Linked DNA regions of Macaca mulatta. Each later gene encodes a partner of the first gene's protein in a complex. Links are inferred from orthologs where the notes say so. Each region holds a gene or a part of one and is shown in the gene's direction. Other genes may lie near its edges.

Region 1 (3,562 bases):
TCCTCTCAGGCCTTCCAGAGTCTAATGTACCTCGAATGAACCATGGTTTTCCCGAGAGTTCCTCTCAGACCTTCCAGACTCTAATGTACATCGAATGAACCATCACTTTCTGGAGAGAGTTCCTCTCAGGCCTTCCAGAGTCTAATGTACCTCGAATGAACTATCGCTTTCCCAAGAGTCCCTCTCAGACCTTCCAGAGTCTAATGTACATCGAATGAACCATCACTTTCCCGAGAGAGTCCCTCTCAGGCCTTCCAGAGTCGAATGGACTCCTCCCTTGTTATTTCCTCCCACAGCCTGTCAAGCTTTCCTTTTCTATCATTTTGCACAATTTTTGAAAGTTTACACATGTGTTTGTCTCTTTTTAACCACCTCTCTTCTATTAGACTGTAAGCTCTATGAGGGCAGGGAATATGTCTGTTTAGATCTCCATGATTTTCCTAGAGCCTAGCTCTAGGAAGAGCCTGGTGCTGAATAAATATTCAGCCTGGTGCTGAATAAATATTTTTCTTAATGACTATTGAGTCCTCGCAATTGCCAAGCACTTGGTGACCTGCAAAAAGAAAGCGTTTTCACACGTGTTCTCAATGAAACCTAATAATCTCTGAGATACTTCAGTCAGGGTGGGTGTTGTGTGTGTGTGTGTGTGTGTGTGTTTTATAGAAAGTAAAAAAGTTGGAGATTTGACTAGGCCAAGTTCACACAGCTGGAGGCCTGGGTGGGAAGTCAGTTCTTTTCATCATTTTGACCAGTGTTCTTCCTACCAAAATGAGAAATCTGTGTGGGAAATATGGACATACCAGTAATGTGCCTGGGAACTAATCTCCGCCCTGATTCGCCCTGATTCTTCGAACTGCTGTATTACTCACTTTCCTCTCTGCATGATTGTTGGCTAAATTTCCCGTTGTGTGACAGCGGAAAACTAGTTCCCGTTCCTTATTGATTTACACTTATAAAAGGGAACCTTAAGCCACTGGCTGAACTGAATGGCGGTAGAATGTATTTTCAATTTAGAAACCTGGTCTTTCCATTGCAGAGTCAGAATGAATATATTGCTAACCTCAAGGACCAACTGCAAGAGATGAAAGCAAAATCCAACTTGGAGAATCGCTACATGAAAACCAATACTGAGCTGCAGATTGCCCAGACCCAGAGAAAGTGTAACAGAACAGAGGAAGTCTTGCTGGAAGAGATTGAGGTAATCCCTGGGACATTAGTGAAGAACCCAGGAGATGGCATTTGAGCTGTCACTCCTGATCCTGTCTCAGCTAACAAAGGAGGGAGATGAAGATTTCCTCCATCTCTCTCGGCAACAGCCCCTCCACTTGAGGTTGAAAATGGAAGCCTAAATGAGGATACACATGTTCGCAAGCGGAGATTCCAACGGGCTGTAGCCTCCTTCTCCTGCCTCATAATGACTTTGAAAATTGGCTGTACTTTCTCTCCTCGGTCACTTCTTATTTTATCAAACCAATCGCCATTTCTCTAATTATAGGGAGAGGGCAAAACAAGATCCTTAGTTATGGCAGGATTTTGCTGCTGTTTGTTTTATCTAGCCAGTACTTTTCACTCCTCCAGTAAGAAATACAGCATCTTGAGAGGTGAACTTCATTCAAACCTGAATTTATGGAGATGAGAAGTCATGGTGAAAAATATCAGGAGGAAGAAAGTGGTAGATCTTCTTTGAGGGGAATGCGAAATGGCGCGCGCACGCGCGCGCACACACACACACACACACACACACACACACACACACACACACTGCACACACATACACAAAGCCAGGCACTAGTCCCAGCTAATTGGAAGGGAGGCAGGAGGATCCTTGAGTTTGAAGCCAGCCTGGGCAACATAGGGAGACTCCCTTCTCTCTCTCTCTCTCTCTCTGTCTCACACACACACACACACACACACACACACACACGCAAAGAGCAGCAGGCAGATGGGAAGACGGAAGAAGGAACAAACGTCCTTAGACCATGGAATTTGTGTGTGGGAGGACTCCTTGCTCTGAGACTAACGTGGCTTAAGGCCACGACAACAGTCTTCCTGGCACTCTGGAATTTCCCTTTTTTAGGCCCCACAGCCTTGTGCCCTTGGCGCACCGTTTCTCTCCTTCAATGGGCACCTCTTTTCAATTCACGGGATTGCGCACCTTTCGTTAGGGACACTAACACAGTCCAGACAGTGCCGCGTCATGTGTCTCTGCGGTGTTTGTGAACAGGAATTGCACGAAACTGAATTCCCGGCATCCCAGCTGGTAAAGGAAACCTGAGCTGCCGACCAAGCTGCTCCTCTAATCTTGAGAACTTCTGATTCACAGCCCTGCAGGGAAGACGTGCTGATGTCTGATTATTGTTCTTACAGAAACTCAGGATGAAAACCGAAGAAGAGGCCCGGATTCATATGGACATTGAAATGTTCCTTAGAAAGCAGCAGCAGGTGGGTCACCAAAACTTTTCTGTGCTTTGAGTCTTTTTGTACTCTGCTCATACTGAGGAAACAAAAAAAATATTTTGAAGAAAAACCAGCCATCATTCTTTCAGCCTAATGAGCTTGAGCTCACATGTTATTTCAGGGTTGTGCATCTGAATAGATATCTTATATAGTTACAATCTGAGAGAGTACAAGTAAAATTTTGTTTTCCGCTTTTATCATTGAGCTTAGATAAGAAATTTTTTGATTCCTATATTGCTGTATACTCATAATTTTTAAATTATGACTTAATTTATGACAAAATTTAGTAAGTCAAATTATGACTTAAAAATTTATGGGCCGGGCACAGTGGCTCACGCCTGTAATCTCAGCACTTTGGGAGTCTGAAGCGGGTGGATCACCTGAGGTCAGGAGTTCGGGACCCGCCTGGCCAACATGGTGAAACCCCCTCTCTATTAAAAATACAACAATTAGCCAGGCGTGGTGACAGGCACCTGTAATCCCAGCTACTCAGGAAGCTGAGGTGGGAGAATTGCTTGAACCTGGGAGGCAGAGGCTGCAGTGAGCTGAGATTGTGCCACTGTACTCCAGCTGGGCAACAGAGCAAGACCCCGCCTCAAAAAAAAAAAGACATAATTTTAAAATTAATTATTTTTAATTATGACTATATTAAAATGTTTTCCCATTAGTATAGTGGCCAATAAATAAAAAAGAAAAATAAAGGCCAGGTGCAGTGGCTCACGCCTGTAATCTCAGCACTTTGAGAGGCCGAGGCCGGCGGATCACCTGAGGTCAGGAGTTCTAGACCAGCCAGGTCAACATGATGAAACCCCATCTCTACTAAAAATACAAAAATTAGCCGGGCGTGGTGATGCAGCCCTGTAATCCCAGCTATTCGGGAGGCTGAGGCAGAAGAATCGTTTGAACCTGGGAGGCAGAGCTTGCAGTGAGCCGAGATCACACCACTCACTCCCGCCTGGGTGACAGAGCGAGACTCTGTCTCTAAAAAAAAAAAAAAAAAAAGATTTACTAATTTTTTACGTTATAAAAATAACATTCCCAGTTGAGTGAGGATTTTTAAAATGACTCATTGCTTTTCATTTTTTATGTTATTACAGTTTCTTTA
Region 2 (4,332 bases), on another chromosome or scaffold:
GCTTGCAGTGAGCCGAGATCGTGCCACTGCACTCCAGCCTGGGCAACAGAGCGAGACTCTGTCTCAAAACAAAAACAAAAACAAAACAAACAAACAAAAAACCTAAAGAAACGGTCTGCAGGTCCCCTAATCCAAAAGGAGAAAAGCCCTGAAGTGTCTGCTGTTTTCACTCTAACCAGTATGGTGCCCAGAGATCCAAGTGGCAGATAGATGGCAAGCCTCAGGATAGCACAGAGCTGCAGGGAGAGTGAAGGCTGCCTGACAAGGGAGGGCCACCCGTCATACTCTCTCCCCCACATTAATTATTCCAGCCACTCCTGGCTCCAGCAGGACACTAAGAAGTATCCCCAAAGGGAGTCACCCCCAATATTGCCCAGTAAATAATTTAAAAGCAAAAATGTGGGAAACTCAGGAGAAGGTCAAACAAGTCCACTAGAGGGAGCCCCAACCAACTCTATGCTGCAGGGAGCCTCACAAAGCAATGTCTCAACACCTGTCTGAAAATCAACCACACAAGGGAATGGGGAAATGTAGCAATAGATTAAGTAACTAGGAGAGAAGATAGCCATGTAAACACCTAGCTAAAACACAGGCTTTTCAAGAGCTACAAAATCAAACATTTAAAGATCAGGAAACTGATGCTGAGCAAAGTCAAATGGCTTGCCTCAGTTTACATATCCACAGTTGGGACTCAAACTCAAATGTCTTGTCTCTAACCTGAGCACTTTCCTGCACACTTGCATCCCTCTAGGTCAGTACCCTAGAGTCCATGGGTCTGCTGTTCCTTTGTGTCTCATTTCTCTGAAGTGGGAAACGCCCTCGACTACCTATTCCTGTACTTATTACCCTCATTCCACAGTGTACTGAAGAGGATCTTCAGTGGTTTGGGGTTTTTGTTTGTTTGTTTGTTTGTTTGTTTGAGACAGGGTCTCCCTCTGTCATCCAGGCTGGAGTGCAGTGGTGCAATCATAGCTCACTGCTGCCTCAACCTCCCAGGCTCAAGTGGTTCTCCTGCTTCAGCCTCCCGAGTAGCTGAGACTAACAGGTGTGCACCACCCTGCCAGGCTAATTTTTTAATTTTTTGTAGAAATGAGGTCTCACTGTGTTGTCCAGGCTGGTCTTGAACTCCTGGCCTCAAGTAATCCTCCTGCCTCAGCTTCTGAAAATGTTGGGATTATAGGCATGAGCCACCGCCCCCAGCTTAGATCTTCAGTTTTAAACCTACTAATGTCATTTTGCTGATGGGACCTCGGGATGTCAATTGTCCAACATGGCTACTGTCAGTCCTTTTCCTCTGTATCAGCACAACATATTATCTCAGATGTGTACATCTGAATTTGGAAGTCTCCAAATTGCAGGCCATGTCTACGTGGCAATGAATCATAACCAATCGGCCTCCAAAGCCCTTTCTTTTCAAACTATACTTAGGGTTTTGGGATAAGGAAAGAACTGACCCTTTGAGACCTTGATATTTTAAGCTTTGTGAGCTGATTTAGCCCATTCCACCTTCCTACGAACTCCATGTTTCCCAGTTGCCTGGACAACATACAGCCTCCCGAAACCCAACCTTCCAGCCCTCAGTCCTGCCCTCAAGAGAAATTTGTCACCAAGGATTGGCTCCCAGGACCCAGGCCCCGCCTCAGGCTCCTCGCTAGTTGGGCCTTCTCTCTGCCACTCCCCACGGGTGGGTCACTCCACAGGGAGCCCCAACACTGGCAGGAGAGGATCCTACAGGTAGGAAGAGGGGGTTGAGGATGATGGGAAGAGGGAGGGGAGCAGGTACAGGGATTTATCTAAAAGAGAGTTGTGAGGAGTGACTTCCGTACAGTCAGCCTGGTTGAGAGAAAAAACTTCACCCTCCCCGTTGACCCCAACCCTGCCTGAGGTTCCAAAGAGACTGTGAACTGACTTTTCTGAAGAGTATGAGATACAAATTTGGAGTAGAACCAGGAGACTCCCCTGAGACTCCTGATTCAGTCAGGAAAGCATCCCTGTGTCCAGACCTAAACATAAGGTCCCCTCCTTCTCCCAGGACAGCAAGGAGATGCCACTTAAAAACAAAGAAAAAGGGAAGAAATCTGGGGCGCAGAAGAAAAAGAACTGGGGTGAGTCATGGTGGGTGGAGGTGCCCCCTGCTTCTCCATGTTCTGGCATGAAGACCACGCAGAGCTCCTCCAGAGAGAATTCAGCCTTCTACATGACAGGATGGAACTCTCTTGACCTTCCTCTTTCGTGTCCTTGAAGTCAGATGCAGGGAGCTGAGGAAGTGGGGAAATGGTCACTCACGCTCTCCTTTAAGCACCATCTAGCTTTGTGCCTTCCTAATATATTTGTCATGTGTATTTTGCATATCTGTTATGTGCTGGTTGGTAAGGACACAGTGCTGACTTCAGTAGACTCTGCCACCATGGATCCCTCATTTAGTGGTCCTCAGGTCTCCTGTGGCAAAAGTGCAGGGTGTGGGGTGAGGACGCAAGGAGAGTGAGGAATGCTGAGATCACGAAGAGCTGAGGCTCTGCCACTTGCCACAGCAGGTGCAGATGTGGAGGCTGAGTCCAGGCACAGGCTGGTGGTGCTGGAGAAGGAGCTGCTCCGAGATCACTTGGGTAAGGAGGGTAGAAGTTGGCATGGGGGTGGGCAACAGGGCAAGTGAAATGGGGCATTTCTGTATCCTGGGGGATTGGAGAGTTGGAGATACAGTGGGGGGCTAAGTTGAACCCTAACCATCCCCTAGTGGAAAAAGACAATGAGAGAGGGGTGGGCAGTGAGAGTTGATAAAGGAAGCTTTTTTTTTTTTTTTAGACAGAATCTTGCTCTATTGCCCAGGCTGGACTGCAGTGGTGTGATCATAGCTCACTGTAATCTCAAACTCCTGGACCCCAACAATCTTCCCACCTCAGCTTCACGAGTAGCTGGTGCACACCACCCTACCTAGCTACTTTATTTATTTATTTATTTTTCTTTTTTAAAATTTATTTTATTTTATTATTTCATTTTATTTTATTTTACTATCTTTTTTTTTTAAGACAGAGTCCTGTGCTCTGTTGCCCAGGCTGGAGTGCAGTGGCGTGATCTTGGCTCACTGCAACCTCTGCCTCCCAGGCTCAAGTGATTCCCCTGCCTCGGCCTCCCAAGTAGCTGGGATTACAGGCACACAGCCACCACGCCCGGCTAATTTTTGTATTCTTATTAGAGACAGGTTTTCACCATGTTGGCCAAGCTGGTCTCGAACTCTTGACCTCATGATCCTCCCACCTTGGCCTCCCAAAGTGCTGGGATTACAGGCATGAGCCACTGCGCCTGGCCCTATTTATTTTTCTTATAGAGACAAGGTCTCACTCTGTTGCCCAGGCAGGTCTCAAACTCCTGGCCTCAAGCAATTCTCCCACCTAAGCCTCCCAAAATATTGGGATTACAGGCATGAGCCACCATGCCGGGCTATCCGGAAAGCTATTTTGTATAGGCAGAACATGGAGAGAGTCTTTACTTCTTAATAATGAGGAGCCTGTGAGACTCTAGGGATAAAAAACAAAAACAACAAAACCCAGAGAGAGAATAAGAGGCTGGACGCCCCGCCACCAGATTTCTAGAGACGGGCAAAATTCATCAAGTTCATGGGGGCTGATTTAGCGGGCCCCAGCCAGTCCTGACAGTGGCTCTGGGACTGCTCACAGCTCTACGGAGGGATGAAGCCCGTCGAGCCAAGGCTTCCGAAGACCAGCTGAAGCAGAGGCTGCAAAGGGTGGAGGCTGAGCTGGAAGGGGCCCGAAGTGAAGGGAAGGCCATATATGCAGGTGTGTGGTCTGTTGAGCAGGTGGGCAGGAGACAGGGGCCTGGAGGAAGACAACCAGCAGGGTCAGATGATGCAAGGAAGGGAAACAAGGAGGGCTTCCAACTGCCAGGCCTGGTCTTGGTCTTCCCCGAACAGTACAAATCAGGCAGGATCCTGCAGGAATCAAAGGCAGGTAGGTTCCTGGGATCCCAGGCAGGGGCCTGCCAGGATGCCTGGTGCCATGTGCTTGATGCTGTGTAGGATACGCATGCAGTCATAGCCATCACCTCAACCATCCTATGGGAGGGGAGAAGGACTAGCATCCCCATCCAAAGCTGGACGGTGGGGGAGGTGGGTTGGGCTTCCTTTCCCTTCCTCAGGTTTTCATGGTCTCTAGCTTCTCAGAATCACAAAAAGAACCAAGAAGACCATGGGCCGGGAGTGGTGGCTCACACCTGTAATCCCAGCACTTTGGGAGGCCGAGGCGGGCGGATCACGAGGTCAGGAGATCGAGACCATCCTGGCTAACATGGTGAAACTCCGTCTCTACTAAAAATGCA
Region 3 (3,994 bases), on another chromosome or scaffold:
GTGACATCCCACAAAGGGTCTGGGAGAACTAGGTCCTTGGGGCAGTGGCAGCGAGCTTGCTGGGCTGGATAAAGACACATGCAGTGGCATCTCCCAAAGGGCATTGGGGAAGCAGACCAGCAGTTGGTACCACCTCTAGAAGCAAAAGGAAGGGCTGAGTCCTGATGGGCAGGGAAGCCTGGGGCATCTCCGAGTTCAAGTTGGGCCTCGGGGTGCCTCCTGGCAGAGTGGCACTGGCGCCTGTCAGGTGGCACCAGTGCCCGGGAGGAGGCCCCAGGACACAGATGCCCTGCCTGCCCGTGGGATAGCACCGGCACCCGGCGGAGGCTCAGTCCGCCCGTGAGGTTGCACCGGCGCCCGGCGAAGGCCCGACGACCAGGATGCCCAGCCCGTCTGTGAGGTGGCACGGGCGCCCAGCAGAGGCCCAGCCCGCCCGTGAGGTGGCACCGGCGCCCAGTGAAGGCCCGACGACCAGGATGCCCAGCCCGCTCGTGGGGTGGCACCCGCGCCTGGCGGAGGCCCAGCCCGCTCGTGAAGTGGCACCGGCGCCCAGAGGAGGCCCGCGGTCCTCACCACCCGGATCAGCTGCCGCGGTCGCCCAGCCTCCCGCCCCACACGCGGCCTTACCGAGGCACTGCCCCACCGGGGTGCTGAACGGGTTCCCCAGGAGGAACTCCATCTTGGGTGGACAACACGCAGCGGCCCGGGCCCCCTGTCTGCCACCGAGGTCTCAGCGGTAACCCGCCGGACTCCCGTCCTGACTGACACTTGCCCCCTCCCCACCCTCTGGAACGCCGAGCGCCGGGACCTTGGCCCCGCCCCCTTACCGCGTCTCTATTGGGGGACACCTACAAAGCCCGCCTCCGATTGGCCGTTACACCTCCGTCAGCAAAGCCCCCACCCACCCCGCAGCGTCCGATTGGGCCGAGGAGCGAGGTAGGTCACCGCAGTCTCTGTCAGCCGTGGTGGCACCTCCCCTGGCCCGCCCCCCGAAGAGGAAGTTGCGCATTTTGATTCCTCAGAATATTGGTCAATCTAAAGGATTCTTACTATTATTGGACAAAAGACGAGTCAATCACTCAAATAGCAGGACGGAACAGAGGTGAATCTAGGAATATCCCCGCCCATAGAAAGTGCTGATTGGAGAAACATTTGTTTTCTCTACGGCTGGTTGGTGTTAGGAGTGTTTCTCCACCAGGAGATGTGGTCACGTGATCTGTCAACTTTCACCCAGGATGTCTCCCTCCTGACTTCCCGTTAGCAACCAAGTCGCGGCGCTTGGTTCCCCAGCAACCGGGAGACGCGTCAGCTGCGTGGAACCAGCGGAGTTCCCAGCGCTTGAGAAGGTGAGACCTGGGAGCTGAGGCTCAGGGAGGACTCGCAGGGACAGACAGCGCCCGACTTAACTCTTTCCTGTGACCCTTTTCTCGGAGAACGCCGTCCCGGCCCCTCTCATAAAATGAGCACGTAGGTCCTCTCCCAGCCACTTTACAGTCGTGCTGACACAGCCAAGACCCTTTAGTCCTGGGCTTATCAAGCTTTTGAATAAAAAAGAAATACTAAGGGAGCATTTCCCGAGGGAGCAGGGCTAGAATCGACTTTTAAGGGGTTCCGTCTTCCAGCCTCCTTTCATAAAAGAGAGGTACCCTGTCCACTGATAACTTTTCCCAGAATTTAGCCATCATATCTGACCTCATAACTGTCAAATGATTTCATCTTGGTACTGTATAAACTGCTTTGGATGTGAATACGGATACTCAGGTTCTGCATCTGTCTCTGTCAGTAATTCATTGTATGACTTTGGACAAGTTCCTTTCCCTCCCTGGAGCCTCAGATTCCCTAGCTGGAAAATAAGGGCATTAGGATTTCCTTTTTTATAGCCTCCGGAGCTTACATGTACTTAAATAATGTTTGTGCACTGAGCAAACAGTAAGCATTCAGTAAGTGATTGATTTTATTCTTTTAAAAACAATTTTTGTTCAGTATTTATTTATTTATTTTTTAAAATGGAGACGGGGTCTTGCCATGTTGCCCGGACTGATCTTGAACTCCTGAGCTCAAGCAATCTTCCCACCTCGGCCTCCCAAAGAGCTGGGATTACAGGTGTAAGCCATCTCACCCAACCAATTTTCCCAATTTTCTTCTTATCAATTCATGGCCAATAGGGACTATAGTTTTCAGATCCTGTTGACCCCAGGTTATCGTTTCCCAGGAAAATTCTGGATCTGTTCTCTGCGACGAGGCTACTTCGTTGACAGTTGTGTAAAACTCTGCTGCTTTCCACAGCTCCAACCTCTCTGGTCTTCAACAACACTATCATCAGGTAAGTCAAAGGGGACCCAGGTTGGGTGGTAAACTACTAAGATCCCCATAGAGGAGGACTGTTTGGGCCTTGGCCCTGAACCCATGACAACTGTGAGAAACATTGTGAGCTGTGGCAACCATAGTCCCCAGTACCCTGGATACAGTTGAGTCATGATTAGGAAAATGGACTCTGCCGTATGCTAAGTGTATGAAGTTGGGCATGTTAATTAACCTTTTTAACTAGTTTCTGTTTTCTTATCTGGATATTGGTGATTATTAGCCCTACATGGAAGTTAAGTTTCTAGAAATTTCTCCCATTCACATCTTGCTAACACCCTGGTCATCTCTCACCTCAGTACTTTTGCAATTCTCAGTACTGCTGCTAAAGTGAGTTCTTAAAAACTAAGATCTGATCACATTGCTGCCCTTATTTTTTTTATTTTTTGAGATGGAGTTTCGCTCTTATTGCCCAGGCTGGAGTGCAGTGGCATGATCTCGGCTCACTGCAACCTCCACCTCCCGGTTTCAAGCGATTCTTTTGCCTCAGCCTCCCAGGTAGCTGGGACTACAGGCATGCACCACCATGACCAGCTAATGTCGCTGCCCTTATTAAGCCCTAGGTGCTTTCCAGGGGTTCTAGGATAATAACAGAACTCCCATAGACCTCTCCAACCTTGCATCACTTCAGCCAAAGGGCAACACGTCTGTTCTCTCCCACCTCGAGGGCCTTGCCACAAAGTTATCTCCTCCTTCTTTCCTACTTGTCCTTCAAATCAGCCCTGTCTTCCTTGGCCAGGCCAGGTGCCCTTAATGTACGATTTCATAGTTCCCTACACCTACAAATTGTCATGGTTTGTAATTAAATAGCTGTATTATTGTTTGATTCATGCCTGAAGCAGGGGTAAAAATCCATCTGTTTTATTCACAACATGTAGCAGTTCCTCACTACCCATGTTTGGACTAAATACGTGATCTCACACAAATGCAGGAGGGAGGAATTATCCACCTTTTACAGATGGGAAAGCCAAGGCTTAGATAGGTGAAGTGAGTTACTAAAAGATGCACAGTAAGGATCCAAATGCTGCCCTGATGTGCTTATAAAATAGCATATGTAATAACAATCCCACATTTCCTAGCATAGCAGTTGCTGGGCTTGACTGAAAGCAAACTTGATCTGTCACAGGTACCAAGGCCCTGATGAAGTAAGAGGGATAAGTGAGTTAAAGTTTTGAAATCAAATCAAAATTAAGAGTCATTTCCCAAAGTATAGCACCTATTTTTTTTTTTTTTTTTTTTTTTTTTTTTTAGATGGAGAGATGGAGTCTCGCACTCTGTCGCCAGGCTGGAGTGCAGTGGTGTGCGCTCTCGGCTCACTGCAACCTCCAACTCCCTGGTTCAAGCGATTCTCCTGCCTCAGCCTCTCGAGTAGCTGGGATTACAGACATGCGCCACCACACCCAGCTAATTTTTGTATTTTTAGTGGAGTCAGGGTTTCACCATGTTGACCAGGATGGTCTTGATCTCCTGACCTTGTAATCCGCCCACCTCAGCCTCCCAAAGTGCTGGGATTACAGGTGTGAGCCACCGCGCCTGGCCAAAAAAAAAAGCCAAACACTTTGCAGAAAATATCAGCCAAATATAACACATTAAAATTCCCCCAAAGACAAGTTGATGACAAGTTATGGGAAAC

Evidence for each region. The genes of interacting proteins can lie anywhere in the genome.
Region 2: IQCG (region 1) and DRC12 share a complex: the UniProt entries of both Homo sapiens proteins name them as parts of the nexin-dynein regulatory complex. The link is inferred for Macaca mulatta from reciprocal best matches to the Homo sapiens genes DRC9 and DRC12.
Region 3: IQCG (region 1) and DRC3 share a complex: the UniProt entries of both Homo sapiens proteins name them as parts of the nexin-dynein regulatory complex. The link is inferred for Macaca mulatta from reciprocal best matches to the Homo sapiens genes DRC9 and DRC3.

What each region holds. Positions count from the first base shown.
Region 1 is NC_133407.1:1,021,875-1,025,436, forward strand, and holds part of IQCG (dynein regulatory complex protein 9), read left to right. Parts: intron 1-1,036; coding exon 1,037-1,198; intron 1,199-2,367; coding exon 2,368-2,442; intron 2,443-3,562. UniProt on the Homo sapiens protein: Component of the nexin-dynein regulatory complex (N-DRC), a key regulator of ciliary/flagellar motility which maintains the alignment and integrity of the distal axoneme and regulates microtubule sliding in motile axonemes.
Region 2 is NC_133419.1:119,883,204-119,887,535, reverse strand, and holds the start of DRC12 (dynein regulatory complex protein 12), read left to right. Parts: upstream 1-1,476; 5' UTR 1,477-1,521; coding exon 1,522-1,734; intron 1,735-2,032; coding exon 2,033-2,105; intron 2,106-2,531; coding exon 2,532-2,606; intron 2,607-3,674; coding exon 3,675-3,794; intron 3,795-4,332. UniProt on the Homo sapiens protein: Component of the nexin-dynein regulatory complex (N-DRC), a key regulator of ciliary/flagellar motility which maintains the alignment and integrity of the distal axoneme and regulates microtubule sliding in motile axonemes.
Region 3 is NC_133421.1:19,536,618-19,540,611, forward strand, and holds the start of DRC3 (dynein regulatory complex subunit 3), read left to right. Parts: upstream 1-1,138; 5' UTR 1,139-1,346; intron 1,347-2,212; 5' UTR 2,213-2,323; intron 2,324-3,994. Other genes in the region: TOM1L2 (TOM1-like protein 2), read right to left, coding at 628-679. UniProt on the Homo sapiens protein: Component of the nexin-dynein regulatory complex (N-DRC) a key regulator of ciliary/flagellar motility which maintains the alignment and integrity of the distal axoneme and regulates microtubule sliding in motile axonemes.